3 linked regions of the Schizosaccharomyces pombe genome follow. The protein of the gene in region 1 purifies or fractionates together with the protein of each later gene. This does not show direct contact. Each region holds a gene or a part of one and is shown in the gene's direction. Other genes may lie near its edges. The genes, in order: nbr1, ape2 and lap2.

Region 1 (6,068 bases):
AACATTTAATAGTAAACGGTCGTAATTCAGTGAATAGCAAAAGGTGCATAGCTAAGACGACAAGTATTTAAGACCAGCATGTAATCCTAGTGCAAATGTGGAGAGACGAACATCAATGGCAAATCCCTTCTTCTCTAAAGAAAATAATTCCTCTTGTAAAGAAGAAAGCTTGATTGGAAAGTTCTCAATGTATTCGCCATCGTCAAGTTGTTGTTGAGGATTTTGGTTTTCAGGCTTCGACATGTCAATGTCAGCCAGTATAATCTTAAGATTAGCATTCGTAAGACCCGGATCATTGTACATGACAGTGGTGGAGTCCATAACAGTACCAACGTAGCCAGTCTCTTCACGAAGCTCTCGAATCGCAGCATCTTCACAAGACTCCTTAGAATCAACTAAACCTGCTGGAATTTCAATACAAAACTTGCCAATAGGAGGACGAAATTGCTTTTGGCACAACACATGAGGACTTCCGTCGATAGGAACAATGGCTAAGATGGCTACGGCATCCACATTGGCTTCTGAACGTGTCGTACGTTCAGCCATTTCCCAAAACCTGATTTTTCCTTTTTCGTCTTGCCAACGGATTTTCTTTAAGGATGTCCACTTGGCATCCTGATTCTCAAGGTTGGACACTTCCAAAACTTTAGGTTTTTGATCTTGGCTCATTTTATCAATACAGGTGCTCAAACCTTTGACAGTGTATGAAGGGTGTTGGAATGAAGTTGCTGATATTTGAAAAGAGAAGGTGGAAATAGCGATGTGAGAATATGAGCTAATCAATTTCGGAGGATGCTGGTGTCTACCAACGTTAAGTAAATATCGGGTTAGAAATGAAGTTGCATTTATACCTAATGTTCTTGTACTTTTAATAATATGCTGGAAAAAATTTCGGTGCATGAGTGACTTAAAATCCAACTGAAATATTGCTTACTTTTTTCCCGTTAATGCGTAAACGTGCGATTAGTATGACAATGTAAGTATGATGTTAATTTGTTTTGACGTATATTTACAAATTTCATTAATGTAAATATTAACAATCAGCAAAAAACCAAAATTATTATTTGAGCAAAATCATAACGCGGAGTATACCATTAATTATTAACTTAGCTATAAACTGGTCGTTTATCACCTTCTCTAGTGTCTTTTCATTTGCAATTGATTTTACAAACGGATCATCAAAAGATACCGTGACCGGTTTTAGCCAATATAATGGAGTTTTTCCTACCCTTTTCTATTATTGTAGTAAAAGATTTTACGCTGTAAGAGAAATTGCATTTATTTACGTTTTCAGTTCATAATCGCTTATTGATATTAGAATAGCGTCAACTTATGATTTAAGAATATATAATATTAATACTTTATCGACTCACATCTCATTTAAATTACATTTATGCCATAACCCATATCTAGTTTAATGTCTAAGCCGATTTCTAAGTACATTTTAGGGCTTAAGTTAAGTAGTTTCCAATTTAACTAAATCAATTTCTTTTTCAAGTTTGCTACATCAACAAAATTTTTCATATATTCATTTTTAGGGCCATGCGTTGAAGTACCAACCTCTTGTAGATAAATTCGCTAAGTTACTGTTTATGCTGTGCACGCTTCTAAACGCTACCACTTTTTAGCGACGCTTAACTTATCTATTATCAGTACGATATGCTCATCCCCCATATACGTGTGATAAGCTTACACCTCGACCTCGTTCATTTACATTACCATCAACTTCTACTAGCGAATTTGTCCTGCTCACTTCACCCGTTGAATACATCCCATTTAGAATTAATAGCTTGATTTCATAACCAATTAGGAACCCGTCATTATAGTTGCAATTCCAACGCTCCTTACATTTCGTTTGCACTGTATCTCTACACATCCGCTTCAATTATTTGTTTTGTCTTTATTTCCTGTTCCGTCTATAGGTAAGATAATTTACTTGCACAAAGTCTTAAGTTCAATGTTTGTACAACAAATTACAAAAAGGATTGAAGGACTAAAGTGGTTGATGGAACTTTAATAATAACATCTTCGATAAATATTTACGAGAACGTAAAAATCCTTGTCTTGATAAAGATTGTTTTTTCTATTGCCTTTACTCTGAAATTGCTAGCACTGTTGCTCACTTCGGCGTCACATATTTCCTCAATTTCAAAATTCATATGAACTATTAAATTTTACTTTGCAACTAATTTCATTAGTTAATATCGTTACTAATTTTGCTTTAGCTTATTTCGAAAGAGCTTTTTACCTACAATTAAGACCTTCTCTTACCTAAGAACTCGAGTTACTTCTTGACTGCTTACGCGATTTTTTTCTTTTTTTTGCTTTCTTTAACGCTCTCTTTTATCATTAAATTTTATTTTATTTTATTCACGTTTTTGATCCCGAAATGCTTTGCAATCGTACATGTCCCTCTTCTGATTGTGGGATTCTTTGCAACCATAGTGTTCCTTCCTTCCCTCCTTTTCATTCCTCAGTCGCTAATATCCACTTCACTAAGGAGAATAATTTAAAGTCAAACATTTTTGAGCACAATAATAATTCGCCTACTTTAAGGTCTTCTTCTGTTGCTTGTAACACTTGCCTCAAGATAATTCGGAATGACTCATTTCATTGCACAAAGTGTTTCGATTTCGATGTTTGTAGAGACTGCTATGCGAAACAGGCATTCCTCCATCCTTGCCCAAAACCCCATTTCGTACTTGTTCGCTCTTCAATCCCTTCAGTTGCTTCCTTAACCTGCAGCGTAAATTCTATGTCAGTTTCTCCCCAATCTAATTTTATGTACGCCATTTGTGACCATTGTGAGCAACCTATACATAATGTGCGTTACAAGTGTAGTGTTTGTGATGACTACGACATTTGTGAGTCTTGCCTTACCGACAATAGTCATTCAAACACGCATGCTTTCGTTCGAATTACTAAAGCTTATCCTCATGGTCTTCCTTCATTTCATTTGTTCCCTCAGTTCCTATCAGCCGAATTGTTTGAGTCTGCCTCAACAGTACATCGATCGGTTCAATGTGACAACTGTCTTGCTCATCCAATAGTTGGACCAAGATTTCATTGTCTGGTTTGTGAAGACTATGATCTTTGCTCCTCATGTGTATCTCATGTGCATCATGATCATCATTCAATGCTCCGTTTAACTCGCGAAATATCTGCTTCACCTTTACATTTATCTAAACCTGAAAAACCTAAGGTTCTTAATTTCGACTTCAAGTTAGTTGAGGACTCCATTCTCCCCTTAGAATTAAGCCCTGGCTGCCCGTTTTATAAAATATGGCATATAAGGAATACTTCTTGTCAATCGTGGCCTTCTCCGTTGTATGTCAAGTTTAATGGTGGAGACAAACTTTTTCCAGGAGACAATCCATATTCGTTTCCTATCACTTCTTCCGTTCATCCTGGTGAGGATGTTAATTTTACAGTTGCTTTGAAGGTTCCTGAAAAAAGTAACAAAGAGATTTTTACCGCATTTTTTAATATCTGCTCCGATGATGGTAGCGTTTTTCACAAAAGTCTTTGCGCCTTCCTTCGTGTACCGAAGTCTTTTAGCAGAATTAGTAAGTCGTCTTTTTGAAACCATTCGTAACGCTTTTTATGTCCTGTAGAAGTTTAGTGTGGAAGACAACGATAACGAAACTGATTTCAGTTTTATATTTCTTTCTTTTGTCCACTTGTCTGGCGGTTGTTCGTATATAACCGCCGGTTTTAAGTTCATGATTTGCTTCAGAGTTGAATCACTTGTTACCATATTTGATCCTACCTTGTTATAATGATCTTGATGGAAATGCTATATATGTTTAAAATTTATATTAAAAATTATATATTAACGAATAAAATGCAGGATACATATGAATATGCCAGATTAAATAATAGTATACATTGATGATAAAACTCTAAAGAGTTTTTGCTTCATTAATTATGGATTCCTTTATGATTACTTTCGATGAAAGTTCATTAGTTTTGGCACTGCTTGATACAGTAGGTTCCTCCTTTTTTTGTAGAAACGAGTTTAATCTAGCCATAGCTTGTTTTTTGATGTGAAATGGTTCTCGTGATTTGCTAAGCGAATCTTTTAGTCTATAAATCGCTTCCTTATTTCGTAACATAGGGCACGTGTCCCTTCCACTAAAGTGAGGTGTTCCACATAAAAAGCATATTTCTAATGGCACAATGCTTAATGGACAATGTGCTGGTAAATGTTTAATACCACAACATCGACAACGTACATTATCAGACAAAGAAGACAGTAGAAAAAAGTTGTCAAGAACTGCTTTAGACAAAGATCTTCCAACCAGTTGATGATTTTTTTCAATTATTTCGTAAGGTGGGTAAAAAACTGGATCGTCTATCAGTTGCATTTCCGAATCATTAATATACTCTGAAGAAGTTAATTTGTTAGCCACCTCTAAATTGATGGTGGATAGAGTTTTGTTAAATTCATCTTCTTTGGGAGTTGTTGCTAATAGAGATTTAGCTAAGATAGAGTCAAAATGAACATCTGCAGACTTTTGAGAATCAGATTCATCATTTAAGTTTTCGATATTTACGCTCGAATCATATTTGAGTTTTTGCTTATCAGATAAAGTATCTGTTATCGAACTGATTGTCTCAGTTTCTATGGGAAATGGGGAGCCTGGTGATGATCGATCATTAACGGTATAATCAGTATCGTCGCTATTATCATAAATATTTAAATCTTCGCCATAATGGATTTTGTGGTGTGCACGAAGTCTCCTGTTGGAAGTTGTTTCGTCTGTTTTTTCTAGCATTGCATCCTTCTCTCGTTGCTTAAGTATTACTGACCAGACATCTTCTTCATCAACAAGAACATTTTCTTTGACTTCATAATGATTGGAAGATATATGTTTGTTATCCCAAACACGAAAAAAGCCAAACTTATTGCTTTTTATATCTGATTCATCAGTTGAAGTATCTTCTTGTTTCTCAGCTTCTGAGATAAGTAATTCTACCGAATATTCATTATACTTAATAGACGGTTCATCACCAGCCTCTTCAAATAATGCACGAGCCCCATGCCGCAAGATACTTTCTAAATCTTTTTCTGAATTATGATTTTGATCCAATGACTCAACAATTAAGTGGTCCAATACAAGCTTCTTTTGAGCGTTTTGAATGATTTTTTCCTCTACAGAATCTCGAGTAGTTAACACAAAGACAAGTACCTTTTTTTTTTGCCCATATCGATGAGCCCTTGCAATCGCTTGCATGTCTTGATGAGGATTGAAATCAGGATCTAGTATAATAACAGTGTCCGCACTAGCTAAATTGATGCCAACTCCACCAGCACGGGTAGAAAGTAAGAAACATGACAACTCAGAATTAGGAGCATTAAAAGAGTCGATTGCTGACTGCCTTTCCATTTCCGATGAGGCGCCATCAAAACGTGCATAGGCTATGTTTTTATATTCAAACCAATCTTCAAGGATATCGAGTTGCTGGATAAATTGAGAAAACAATAATATACGATGCCCGCGAGTTATCAATTTCGGTACCAATAAGCGTAATATTAAAAACTTACAGCTGGCTTCTTCCAGTGAACGCATAGCAAGTTCATACGGGAGATTACGGTCTTCAATATCTGGTGAATAAATGTACGGATGAGCTAATGTTTTTCGAAGTTGCATCAAAATGTTGTTCAATGAAGTAGTCCTTTGCCCTCCAGAAGAACTGGTATTAGCATAGCCGGTAATATTACGTAGCAAAGACAAATTTTTTGAAAGAATCGATTTGTATAAACCTTTTTGAACAGGTGTCATGGACAAAGGAATAATTACTTCAACCTTCGTAGGAAAGTTATCCAGTACTTCGCTTTTCACTCTTCTTAAAAAAAACGGCTTTAAGATTTGATGAAGTTCAGTCACCTTTTCCGTATCAATAATGCTGTATCTTTTTTCAAGCTCAGCAGCATTTATTTTCATGGGATTTAAAAACTGCAGTAAATTAAAAAGTTCCCGAACATTATTTTGCAATGGCGTCCCGGTTAAAAGAAGCTTAAAGTCACTTTTAACCGAAGAGAGGTAATAAAAGAGGGAAGATTG
Region 2 (7,550 bases), 1.4 Mb from region 1:
GCTCACTTTTCTTTTTCTTTTTCCATGGAATGGTTTGAGCGTCATACGTGGGCCAGAGCCATATTGGACATCTTAGTGCCCTTACAGGAATAGTCATATTGATACTTTTTCTGTGGGTCGGTAGTTCAGATAGCTTTTTGCTTTGTAGTATAAGTTTTAAATTTTTTGTATGACTCATTAATGTTTTTTAATTCATTTTAATATTATTCATGTTATGTGTTGGTTGTATTTGTCTGTCTTGTGTAAATTTTGGTTGTATTCGTGGGTTTTAAAAACCTGCTGTTTACTTAATTTTGAATTATCGAAATTTCTTCCATTTTTTAGTGTTATAGGGACAGCTTGTTTGTCGGACAGGATACTCAATGGGTTTAACAAGCTACGTTCATTTCTATTTTGTCACTATTATGGCTGTAATGTGAAATATCATAGTTGATTGTGCCGTGGATAAAAGAAAAAATCCTAGTGTTCTTTGCTCTGTCTTCTCCACGGGTATTAACAATGCACATGCTGTATGTCGTTTAACGTTTAGATGCATTTCATATTTGTTCACCTTATCGTTATCTCTGTTGTATCTATTAAGTTCCCACACTGGGGCACTAAAATGGTGCGGAAGGATCCTATAATCGTAGGAGTCGTTGGTGTTTCTCTGCAATATCCGAGGATCTTATCTTATAAAAGGAGGTATACGGCACATTGCAAAAGAAAGTCAATTATCAAAATTGTATTGTAATTTTGTTTCCAGACAATTTTACCCTTGTTTATTTTGTTACGGTAAGTATTAAAAAATATGATGTCGGGAATGAAGAAACGATGAGAGCGATTAAGTGACATACAAACGATTTATTAGATTGGAATTGAAATTTACGTTCGTTTGGCGTAAATTCTATGATCGTGCTACCAAATATGTAGAAATAGACTTTGGTATTAAAGGAGGATTGACAATAAGCGAGTCGAGCAGTAAGTAATTATATTCTTGGGCAAAAATTTTTTTGTCATAAGACATGCACTGCCGATTTCATTTTTCTTAGGCAAAGTAGAAAAGCTCCGCAGCAATCTTAGAAAGAAAGGCAGTTTGTAAATAGAATCAAACAATCGTTACCACCGATGAGACCAAGTATTTTTGGCTTGGACGAGCTTTACTGTTTTTGAAGACCAAATATTCTAAGCCTAATAAAAACGCCTTGCTATGTGAGGGATAAATCTTTTTTTTCTTGTTACAAGTCTTGCCTTGAATTGTCTATTCTATTTATCGACGGTAATTTTAGCGCTTCGGAACCAAGAAAAGTGATGTAGTTTTTTCTGCACAAAACGGTAATATATTTTTGCGTGGTTTTATTCTAAACATCGAAAAGCTCCGGTTTCTTTAACTATCTCATCTTCCACTGAGTGATAAAGTCACCAACATTAGCACATTCGGGGGATTTTGAAATGTTTTCTCTCAACTGTCAAGCTACAAGATGTGTTTCTTCTTGTTTTACATTTAATATTTTTTATCTTAAAAAAGCAGCAGAATTCATAGCATCAATCAATATCTAACTAGTTGCTTCTGTTTTTGTTTTAAGGAGAGCTCGTTTATACTCCCTAAAATCACCTTGGATATGGGATTTCGAGTCGGTTACGACATTGGGGTTTATCATTTGTTGTTGTTACTTTAAAATAAGTTGTTTATGATACTTATGTTACGTGAAGAAACTATGCTTACTCCATCAGACGCTTATATATCCTGGGCACACACACATAGTGCTTTCACCAACCTTCTACTTACACCAACTACCTACTTAACCATCTTCATTGGCAGCTTAGACCTATTACATCTTTTCGTCGTTTAGTGTCTTTACGTTTTTCGTTTGTTGCTTGGAAAATATCATTACGTTTAAGTGTGTAATCGTGTGCTTTTCAGCGTTGTTGGACAAATTATCATCTGTTCCATCCCGTTTCCCATCGTTCTCATTTCCACAGCGTGGAAAACGACATCTACATTTCTTTGACTATTAAAATTTAAAATTAACGTTAGGTTTTTTAAGATTAATTAAGGAGTCTGTTGAATTACTCTATCGATCGTTATCGGCTGTTTGTTTGTTCGTATCGATACTTTTTCTAACTAACTGACTCATCGTTCGTAATTCCATCTTCCTACGGTTTTTGTACCATTATTTAATTAGTTGGCAAATTCTTCCTTCACCTTTCCCACTATCGTATCACATTTGCTCTATTCAGCTTCATTATTGCTCTGGCTAGTTTAGCTGTATTGATTTTCAGCGTTATTTTTCTTTTGTAAAAATGCAAGTCACCATTCCTAAATCTACTTCTAAGGAAGACGATAAAAATCGGAATTTGCTTCCAAAAAATGTTAAACCCATCCACTATGATTTGAGTTTATATCCAGATTTGGAGACGTTCACTTACGGCGGTAAAGTCGTCGTTACCTTGGATGTACTTGAGGACAGCAACAGTATTACTCTACATGGCATTAACCTTCGTATTTTGACGGCTGCGTTAGAATGGGGCAGCCAAACCGTCTGGGCCAGCGAAGTCTCTTATGGGGATGAGCGTATCGTTCTTCAATTTCCCTCCACTGTCCCAGCCAACTCTGTTGCTGTTTTGACGTTGCCTTTCACTGCCCGTATTTCCAGTGGCATGGAGGGTTTCTACCGCTCTAGTTACGTTGACAGCGATGGTAATACCAAGTATCTTGCCACGACCCAGATGGAGCCTACTAGTGCTCGTCGTGCTTTCCCCTGCTGGGATGAACCTGCTTTGAAAGCTACCTTTACCATCGATATCACTGCTAAGGAAAACTATACTATCCTTAGTAACATGAATGCCGTTGAGGAAACTGTCAAGGATGGTTTGAAAACTGCCCGTTTTGCCGAAACTTGCCGAATGTCCACTTACCTTTTGGCTTGGATTGTTGCCGAACTCGAATACGTTGAGTATTTCACCCCTGGCAAGCATTGCCCCCGTCTTCCTGTTCGTGTTTATACTACACCTGGGTTTTCCGAACAGGGTAAATTTGCTGCGGAATTAGGTGCTAAGACCTTAGACTTCTTCTCTGGTGTATTTGGCGAGCCATATCCTTTACCCAAATGCGATATGGTTGCTATTCCTGATTTTGAAGCAGGTGCTATGGAAAATTGGGGTTTAGTTACCTACAGACTTGCTGCCATCTTGGTTTCTGAGGATTCCGCTGCTACTGTAATTGAACGTGTAGCCGAAGTTGTACAACACGAATTAGCCCATCAGTGGTTTGGTAATCTTGTTACCATGCAATTTTGGGACGGCTTATGGCTTAATGAGGGTTTCGCTACCTGGATGTCATGGTTTAGCTGTAACCATTTTTACCCTGAATGGAAGGTTTGGGAATCTTATGTTACAGACAACCTTCAATCTGCTCTTTCGTTGGATGCACTTCGTTCCAGTCATCCTATTGAAGTTCCCATTATGCACGATTACGAAATTAACCAAATATTTGACGCTATCTCTTACTCTAAAGGTTCTTGTGTTATCCGCATGGTTAGCAAGTATGTTGGCGAAGATACGTTTATTAAGGGTATTCAAAAATACATTTCTAAGCACCGTTATGGTAACACAGTTACGGAAGACTTATGGGCTGCCTTGTCGGCAGAATCAGGTCAGGACATCTCTTCCACTATGCACAATTGGACTAAGAAGACAGGTTATCCCGTGCTATCCGTTTCTGAAACCAATGATGGAGAGCTTTTAATTGAGCAACATCGATTTTTGTCAACAGGAGACGTTAAACCCGAAGAAGATACTGTAATTTATTGGGCCCCCTTAAAACTTAAAACGATGAAGGATGGTAAAGCAGTTGTTGATGAAAAAGCTGTGCTTTCAGACCGATCCAAGAAAATTAAAGTTGATAAAGAGGCTCTCGAATCTTATAAGCTAAACTCTGAACAATCTGGTATCTACCGTGTTAACTATTCTGCCGATCATTTAAAGAAGTTATCTCAAATTGCGGTTGAAAAGCCAGATTATCTTAGTGTCGAGGATCGTGCTGGTTTAATTGCCGACGTCGCTTCTCTCTCGAGAGCTGGCTACGGTAAAGTTAGCAGCACTTTAGATCTTATCAAAACTTGGAAAGACGAGCCTAACTTTGTAGTCTTTGCTGAGATGCTTGCCCGCTTGAATGGTATAAAGTCCACTTTACGTTTCGAAAGTTCTGATATCATTGCTGCAATGAAAAAGTTAGTTCTGGAGGTTTCTGCTACTAAAGCCCATTCACTCGGCTGGGAATTCAAGGCAAATGACGATCATATCATTCGCCAATTTAAGAGTACAGTATACAATTATGCCGGTTTGTTTGGTGATGATAAGGTGGTTAAGGATGCACTTTCCAAGTTTGATGCTTACGCGTCTGGTAATAAGTCCGCCATTAATGATAATTTGAGATCCGCCGTATTTAACATTGCAATTCGTTATGGTGGTGCTAAGTCGTGGGATCAACTTCTTGAAATTTATACTAAAACTAATGATCCTTATGTCCGTAATAGTTGTTTGAGAGCCTTTGGTGTTACTGAAGATGAAAAGTATATTCAAAAAACTTTGGATTTAACCCTTGACCCTATTGTCAAGGAACAAGATATTTATCTTATTTTGGTTACATTGAGTACTCACAAAAACGGTGTTTTGGCAATGTGGAAGTTTGCTACTTCTAACTGGGATAAGTTGCTTTCAAGACTTCCTGTTGCTGGTACAATGCGTGGCTACGTTGTGAGATTCGTAACAAGTGGATTCACTCATGCCTCCGCTATTGATAAAATTAAGGAATTTTTTGCCGATAAAGATACGAAGTTGTATGAACGTGCACTTCAACAATCTTTGGACACTATTTCTGCTAATTCAAGTTTCATCGACAAATCACTGGATGATATCACTCGCTGGCTTAAGGAGAATCGTTATATGTAAGTCTTTGCATATTTAGAAACGGTATGTGGTGAATGCTTAAATTGTGGCATTTGAAACTGTCAAGTTGATCACCATGTTTTTATGAACGATGACTACTGCAAGTTATGTATATACTGATGGACGACGCCTTTACTTAGATTGCATACATCTATGAAATTTTGATTTTTGAAACTGACGTAAAATACATTTAAAGTTTTATAAATTTATGTTATAACAGTATGTTGTTTACTCCACACTGGCACTTTACTATTTTCAGTATACACCGACATCAACTAAAGGTGTGCAAAACGAAGGTGAATTACTGAATATTAACTGGAACTAATGTAACTTTAATTTCAATCATATAATAAAACGCTAATATAATAAATTTCTCGTATCGTCGGCCCTTACGCCAATCGCCTAAATTAATAGGACATAAGAGTAAGGTTCTTTATCAACGAGTTTTGATCTCGAGGTCGCAAAGTCTAAAAAGACTCTGGCAGTAGCATACGTACTAATTCACATAACCACCGTGGCTGACCCCTTAACTTTTTGATTAAAGAATAATGTAGCAAGCGCACTTGTTTATATAGTAAATTACATTTTTTAATAGGGTAGGGTTGTGACTACCTTAACGACTCGGAGCTGGTACTGTCATATCGCTGGTTTGAAATAACGAAATTTAAGGAGAAATTTAGCCGATTTCAAGGAATATTTTGATTGTATCTACATTTACTTGAAAAGACTTAATGTGTTTGTTGCAGATAGATGAGCATCGATTATACTTATATTTTTAGTGACTCAAAAAATCTCTAGCTGGTTTAAAAATGCATAAATTAAAAAAAATTAGAACGTAGAAAGAACTATGTTAACAATAGATGGCGGTTAAAACAAATTGAGAAAAGATTATAAAGAACGAAGCATTAGTAGATATGAAACATGTGTAAACGTTACGTTACGCACGGATCAAATAAATGAAACATAAACGAAGAATAATGCATATGCAAAGAATAACGATAGAGGAGAAACGATTAAACGTCCAAAGAAGGTAAAGGAATTGTTGCCTGAAGACACGAAAGTCGTTCAGTTTCTATCAAGGCACTGCAATTGGCACGATGTTCATACATTTTTTTAAACCAATTGCTTACCGTCGACAAGAGAGGGATGCTTTTAAGCTTATGGACGGCAATGGCGTCAATGCGTAAATAGCTTTGACGATAATTAAAACCTTCGTTGGGTAAAATCAAATCATACAATGTGCATTTAGAGAATTCCGCATTTTTTACATTACCGGAAAGGTAAATGCTATAGCCGGTCTGAGCATCTTCAAACGGAATAATAATATTACGGCGTTTAGCCACCTCATAAGCCATATCAGGAGATACTATATAGAAGAACCCGCACATGTACGGGAAGTCACGAACAGCGGTAGGTAATTCTCTTCGTGTGCAATCCCTTCCAAAATAAAAGCGGCTTTTCCCAACGTGCTCTTTCAACATTTCAAACAGACGGGGTAAATTCAAGAAAGAATCGTCATCGGCTTTAACAATAAAATCGTAGTCATGCTTTGGCTCGCCGAGATCTTGGAATTCCTTCATACCAGGCAACTCATATGTCTTAATACTTTGATTATATATAAAACTACCATGAAACTGAGTGCTGGGCATTATAAGATTATCTGCAAGTTCAGAAAAAAGAGGAAACGGCTGGTAGCCCTCTAAAAATGTTTGGAAGTATACAATGGACTTTCCAGCATCCACATTCTCCGGAATAGGTAGTACTGCTAAGTCACCATACGTTCGCTGCTCTTCGCGAATGGTAGCTAATTCCTGCTCATTCTCAGGTAAACCAAGGATAAATCTAACATCCACAGTATCATTTACGGCAAACTCCTTAATATATTCATTATAGTCGGTACGTAAAAAGTTACGCCTATCCACGTTCTTAGCTTGACTAAAAATCCCCAAATACAGTTTGAAAGGTCTGTCGTTCGCATGGGCAAGCGATTCATTTTGCTTAATGAAGGGATCTAAAAACAAATTCTCTACGTAGGCGAGTGAATGTTCTTCGGCCTGTAGACGATTTAGTACAAGAAAAGCAAAGGAAAAAGTAGCAACACCGGCAATTAGCACGTAAAGAAAAATTTTTTTTTTAGAATTTGAAAACATAGTGAAAGAGTTTAATTAAACGAGCACGTTGCGCCAGGAGGTCAATTAGAGAGACGTGAATATTAATTGTCCCTTTGAATAAAAGAATAAAATAAAACCAAACTTAAAGATCGTTGAGAATTAAACAAAAGACTCCTTGAATATATGAGCCAGCAAACAGAATATAACTCTGAAAGGAGTATAATGTTTGGTTCTGAAAACAAAGCTGTGCTTGGTGCCATATTCACGTCCACCATAAATACGCAGTCATAATGTAACCAGAAGAGCAGCTACTCAAACCCTTAATGCCCTCATAGCGTTGGTAACTATAAATGCGTTAACTATATATACCGGGTTGCTACATTTCTTTATCTCAGAGTCCATTAACCAAAGGATTCATACATATACAATTTTTCTATTTTGTTTATTTTTATGAATAATTTAATAGGAGATACTCGTTAAATGAACTTAGTTTTAGTATTCAGTTTCCTCTAT
Region 3 (6,515 bases), on another chromosome or scaffold:
TCACTCAAAACGCTGAACCATAAATTCATGATAGAATCCAACACTGCCAAAACGTCGGGATGATTTGTTCGCAGCAGAGAGCTGAGGGCGAGTGTGTTCAGTTTTCGATCTTTCGAGTGGTTTATGTGGTCGTTTAATAAAATCCAGTTGCCGATAAGCATAGCTATGTTGATATTTTTCGTTTGACAAACCTTCAATATTAATTCCGGCTCGCGCAATGAGATGCGTGACACCACCAATAAATATTCAATCAACACCTGAGGGTGTTTATCATTTGTTGCAATGGAGAGTAGGAGCCTCGACAGAAGTGAACTGTTCAGCAATGATTCGTAAATCATATCCATCGGAGTAGTTTCAATGAGTAGACATACAGTTTTACATAGTGCTTGCAAAGTTTCGTTTTTTACATCGTCTAATAAGTCGTTCAACTTTTCAAATATGGTAAATGAGTAATCCTTCATCAAAACGGTATTGTCTAAAAGTTGATAACTGCTTACTATCATTAGAACGAATGGAAGGGTAGACGTGGCCTGTGAAAGATGGTACAATAAATGAGGGATAAGTAGGGTAAAAGTTTCTGGCAATTTTTGTATGTACATGAGAAAGGTGCTCCACAATTCCATTGCATCCGCTTCGAAAATAACATGCTCTGGAGATTCCGGATTTACACAATATTCTATTACCGTATATAAAAAAGTTGAAAATTCAAAAGATTTTGCTTTGATCGCCTAGAAATTAGTATAAGAAAACAGTCTGTTGTATATAGCCAAACACTTACATTGACGAATTGGTGCATAACTGCCAAAACTCGTGCTCGCAGCAGCGGTTCCTTTTTCCAACCATCCCATAATTGAGAAAGGAGAGAAGCAATGGTACTTTCCATGGGAGCAACATGTTCTCCGGCCCTTGCCAATAAAGTACCAAGTAAAGACAAGATGGAAGTCCTAGCATCGACTGATTCAAACGCTTTAAACAAAGAAAGAACATGGACAAACAAATTTTCTTTGATAGAAAGAAATGAATTCTCAGAAAAATTCCAATCATCTAAAACGGTTTTGAAAGCATCTATAGTTGTTAAAATGACTACGGCGTCATTGCAAGGATCTGTTAAGTTGAGAAATGAGCAATACAATTTGTAAATAACCTCAAGGAGTTGTTCTGAAGAAGAATCTTCAATCCATTGCGATAAAAAAATGGCAATTCTTCGTCGATACACTCTAGATATCCCAATATCATTAATGGAAGCCATGTTGGGAACTGCGGCTTCCTGTAGCCATTTTGCAAAAGGAAAAATACTCTTCAATTGGGTATATCCAACTCCGAAAGAACTGATCAAAGTGTCTTGTTGAACTGCTTGTGTTAACGTCTTTGGACACTCAAAAACGCTGTAAATCATATCCTTGAACGGCGAAACGATAATATCTCCATATGCATCAAAGAAGCATTTTAAAAGTTTTTCGGCACAAGGCTATATTATCGTTAATGATAAGCTTATCAAAAAACCCATATTCATAATCAACTTACCCTAACGTTAAACTCAACATCCTGGGTCGATTGTTCAAGGACCCATTGTTGTGGGGAATCCGTCCATTCTTCAAAATCTTCTTCTTTTAATATTAGTAGTTTGGTGATGAGTAAATCCAAAAGATTGTTTATACGATTATCTACGAGAAATGAGTTGTAAAGAACTTGAGCCGTTTCGGGGTGCGACGATTTAGTATTGCAGAATTCTTGGATGACAAGGATAAATACTCGTAAGCTCATAATCACAAGTTTTTCAAAATTTTTTGAGCTCTCTTCAAACTTTTCTTTGTATGAAGAAAGATGAGAACTGATTTGACCCAAAAAATCATAGTGCAATGAAATGTAATCAATAGTAGCTGGAAACTTAGTCAAGCATGGACTATAGAAAGAAAAATCAAAGAATGGCTTATTGAATAAGAAAGCATGTGCAAAAGCCATTTCTAAGCACTCCCCAACTACTATCGGAGACCGCGAGGATTGAAGCATTGTACCAAGCATACTCAAAAGTTTTCGCTGATGAACAGCACAAAAAGCTAACATACGCTCACTAAATTCACTTTCACTAGGATTTTGGAAACCAAAAACAACCAACCGTCTACATGCCTTAAGCGTGTATCGAGATATTTGCATATAAGACAACAAAGTAGAATCTTTAATTTCCTTAGAAGATTCAAGTATCATCATCCAGCTTGATAAACTAGAATGTAAAATGGGTTGAAGAATCGTAAGCAATTCTGGAGCAAGTTTGTAAAAAATCTGTCGCGATCTCAAAAGACGATTCCCAGCCATTGCTTTGATAATGTGATGAAGAGTAATTAGTAATCTTAAAGCCACATCGTAATCTCCTGTACCCAATGACTGCTGTAACTTGCCTAAAAGATCGTGAAAAAGAGAAGGCCATTCGGTGGGATAATCCAATCTAGCAATTCGAGAGACGACCAGCGCATTTTGAATAGATAAGAGGTTTTCAGATTTTATAGATCCTAAAAGAGCATTACATCGTATAAAGTCACGTTCTTCTGGAAGTAAAGACCTGCCAAACAATCATACATTAGCAATTACGAAAGTCTAACAGTACAGGTTGATTCTTCGAGACTACTCCTAACTTACATTTTTGTATTTTTCCTCCATATTATATCTATGGAGTTCCGTAGTTGAATGATAGCAATCCATCGTAAACTCATGTCATTTTGTTTATCCAAAAATATACTGTACAGCTTGCCAAAGAAACCTGGTTCCTTTTTCCAGTTGTTTAAATGCCCTTCAGCATCCTTAACAGCAATGGGATCTTGACTTACAGCACGTTGTAGTTGATATACTACAGGATCTACTTGCATTCTCCAAAAAAGTCTGAGACTTGGTTTTTGCTTGAGCAAGGCTGTACCAGTCGCACTCAGTATATGTGAGCCAAAGGAAGGAATTATAGGAAACACTTAGAAAGCGCTTCGATTTCGGAAATGGTGAAATAATTTTCAAATTAAAAACGTTGCGTTCAGTTTTTTTGGTATTTTAGTATCAGAAGATTTTGGGTTTTTTGGTTACCCTTCGGAGGTCGAGCTGCGATTCAAAATTCGAACTTTTAACTCTGTTCGTAATTGAAGAAATAGAAAGATCACAAAGACTAATACTTCTATTATTGCTCATTTTTCTTTCTATAGACAACTAATTCATATTACAATAAATGATAATGTAATATTGCCTTCTTTCTGTTATCTGTTAACAAACGTATCTTATTAAAGAGGGAATGACCAAGATTTGTGGAATTCTCTCTCGTTTATGCCTAAACCTTATGAAATTACAAATAAATGAATAACATTTTTTTACTATTTTATTTAAAATAAACCAAAATCAATAATCGTAACAGTTATTGTATTATTTACATTCCCAAGCTAAGGGACGCTGTCTCTTTTATAATAACTTATCATTGGCAATGATCCTTTCAAACATTCTTGGTAATTTTATGAGCACAAAAATAATAATTATTTACTTTTCAAAGCCCTCTCTCCAAAACTCCTATTCAACAATAAACTGTTTTCTTTTGTGAATTTACAAATTGCGTTGCTCAACGAAAATAAATGTAGTGATACATAATGATATCGATAAAGTAGCATAACGCGCTGCACCCATATCCACACATGTTGCTACTCATCGTATTGCTGTATGATCGCTTTTCCTATTCCTTCCTTTATAAAACTGTGATTAATCTGTTTTAACTATTTTATACTTAATATTTTTATTTACTCAGTAGCATAACTCATATTGCTAAAGCTGAGATCGTTGTACTCGTTGGTTTTATCTAGGCTTCTAATATATTGAGCGTTGTTTTCGTTTAAAGAATTCGTTTGTACATTGTCCTAAATTCCTTCAATTAATTTTAAATATGAAACTTCGTTTGGACCCTTCCACTCAATCTAATTATCATGATGTCTCAATCAGTAAGCTCGATTGGCACGCTCGAATTGACTTTGACCAAGAGCTGCTCCATGGTAAAGTATCCTTTGTGATTCAATCTGCTAGGGTGTCCCAAGCCCTGTCCCATATTATCCTTGACACTTCTTACCTCGAAATCAAGAATGTAACGATTAATGACATCCCTACTCCTTTCCGTGTTGATAAGCGGCGCGGATTTTTGGGTTCAGCTTTGCATATCGTTCCCGCTGATGAAATCCCTTCCTCAAAATCCTGTATACTTACAATCTTATATTCCACTACTAAGGATTGTACAGCACTTCAGTTTTTGAAGCCTGAACAAACGATAGGTGGTAAATTTCCTTATGTTTTTTCGGAATGTCAAGCCATTCATGCACGTTCATTCATTCCCTGTCAAGATACTCCTTCTGTTAAAGTTCCGTGTACTTTTAAGATCCGGTCCAAACTTCCCGTAATCGCATCGGGTATCCCATGTGGAACAGCTAATTTCTGCAATGGCTCTTTGGAATACCTGTTTGAGCAAAAAAATCCAATCCCTAGTTATTTATTTTGCATTCTCAGTGGTGATTTGGCCTCCACAAATATAGGTCCACGTTCTTCTGTATACACAGAGCCTGGCAACTTGTTAGCTTGCAAATACGAATTTGAACATGACATGGAAAACTTTATGGAAGCCGCCGAGCAACTAACACTTCCTTATTGCTGGACACGGTATGATTTTGTCATCCTTCCGCCTTCCTTCCCATACGGAGGTATGGAGAACCCTAATGCTACGTTTGCTACGCCGACACTTATTGCCGGAGATCGCTCCAATGTTAACGTTATTGCTCATGAATTAGCCCATTCTTGGAGCGGTAATTTAGTTACTAATGAGTCATGGCAATGCTTTTGGTTGAATGAAGGTATGACTGTTTTCTTGGAACGCAAAATTTTAGGCCGTCTTTATGGTGAGCCGACTCGCCAATTTGAAGCCATTATTGGCTGGGGTGAATTAGAAGAATCGGTTAAATTGTTGGGTGAAGATAGTGAGTATACGAAGTTGATTCAAAACCTCGAAGGAAGGGATCCCGATGATGCCTTTTCCACTGTTCCTTACGAAAAGGGCTCCAATTTCCTCTATGAAATAGAGAGGGTTATTGGTGGTCCTTCTGTTTTTGAACCATTCCTTCCCTTTTACTTTAGGAAATTTGCAAAGTCTACCGTAAACGAAGTCAAATTCAAGCATGCACTGTATGAATACTTCTCACCTCTTGGGCTTGCATCTAAGTTGGACTCGATTGATTGGGATACTTGGTACCATGCTCCTGGTATGCCTCCGGTTAAACCACATTTTGATACAACGCTTGCAGATCCTTGCTACAAGCTTGCAGAAAGCTGGACTAATTCTGCTAAAAATTCTGATGATCCCTCCAAGTTTAGCAGCAAAGATATTGAAAATTGGTCAGCGGGCCAGAAATCTTTGTTTTTGGATGTTGTTTATGAAGCTGTCTCTTTTCCTCACAATTATATTAAAAGAATGGGTGATGTTTACTCGTTTGCCGAATCGAAAAATGCAGAGTTATCTTTCCGGTTTTTTAAACTCGCATTGAAGAGTAAATATAAGCCATTATACAACACTATTGCAGAACGTGTTGGCAGCGTTGGCCGTATGAAGTTTGTTCGCCCAATTTTCAGACTGTTGAATGAGGCAGATCGTGCTTTTGCAATTGAAACGTTTGAAAAGTATAAGCATTTCTATCATAAAATTTGTGCTTCTCAAGTTGAAAAGGACTTAGGCTTATCTGAATAGAATTCATAAATGCTGCTTGCCTACTAACAAAAGAATACATCTACATGGAGCCTTTTTCTCGCCTTAGCTTTTTGATGATAGATGTAGATATTATGATATAAATATATATTATTTTTTTTTTGACCTAGCAAACAATAAAAAGAAGAAATCATATATTAGGAAGAGAAAACCAAAGTCGTTTCACAATACTAAGATTTACAACATCTCAACCAAAATTTTTATGATCAACTACGACTTATGTATCTAATGCAAATTTTTTAACATGAATGCAATCTGATCTCGTCAACACATTTCTGTATATAAAAAGAACATTGTGGTTTCCATAAAGTGCTATTCTAATGCATGTAATGAAAAAGTCATGAAAAAAGAGCGACGATTTAGTGCTCCAAGATATTGAGATTACCGGTAATGACACAGTTCTCAAGGACAGAACCATTAGGAATGTCAATACGGTTGGCATCACTAGCGACAATAATCACGGTACCCTTAAGAGTAACATTGCGACCAATATTAACGTCACCAGTAATGGTCAGATGATCAAGTTCAAGGATTTTTGGAATGCTGGGAATGTGAGCAGAGAAATCAGCAACTTTCTTGAAGTGTGCGCCTAATTTGACTAAAGGAGCGGTACCTCCGAATCGGCGAGGATTCATCTCAACCTGACCATGGTTGATGGAATAGAGGTCAGACTTGACGAGAAGTAAGTCAGAGCAGGTTTTGACGGGTAAGAAACGTCTTCTAGGGACGTTAACACCGTGGGCGTTCTTAAAAT

The links.
Region 2: the proteins of nbr1 (region 1) and ape2 purify together in Schizosaccharomyces pombe (affinity purification with western blotting; one study listed by BioGRID). This does not show direct contact.
Region 3: the proteins of nbr1 (region 1) and lap2 purify together in Schizosaccharomyces pombe (affinity purification with western blotting; one study listed by BioGRID). This does not show direct contact.

The regions. Positions count from the first base shown.
Region 1 is NC_003423.3:984,159-990,226, reverse strand, and holds nbr1 (protein Nbr1), read left to right. Parts: upstream 1-1,717; 5' UTR 1,718-1,922; intron 1,923-2,225; 5' UTR 2,226-2,389; coding exon 2,390-3,583; 3' UTR 3,584-3,844; downstream 3,845-6,068. Other genes in the region: subfamily NudF ADP-ribose diphosphatase Ysa1, read right to left, coding at 52-669; SHREC complex ATP-dependent chromatin remodeller Mit1, read right to left, coding at 3,903-6,068.
Region 2 is NC_003423.3:2,411,227-2,418,776, forward strand, and holds ape2 (aminopeptidase Ape2), read left to right. Parts: upstream 1-1,751; 5' UTR 1,752-2,280; coding exon 2,281-4,929; 3' UTR 4,930-5,315; downstream 5,316-7,550. Other genes in the region: SPOM_SPBC1921.04C (uncharacterized protein), read right to left, coding at 1-178; pvg3 (galactosylxylosylprotein 3-beta-galactosyltransferase Pvg1), read right to left, coding at 5,940-7,076.
Region 3 is NC_003421.2:1,293,304-1,299,818, reverse strand, and holds lap2 (aminopeptidase Lap2), read left to right. Parts: upstream 1-3,690; 5' UTR 3,691-3,904; coding exon 3,905-5,743; 3' UTR 5,744-6,015; downstream 6,016-6,515. Other genes in the region: karyopherin/importin beta family nuclear import signal receptor Kap113, read right to left, coding at 1-728, 779-1,468, 1,525-2,557, 2,635-2,861; fyu1 (UTP-glucose-1-phosphate uridylyltransferase), read right to left, coding at 6,121-6,515.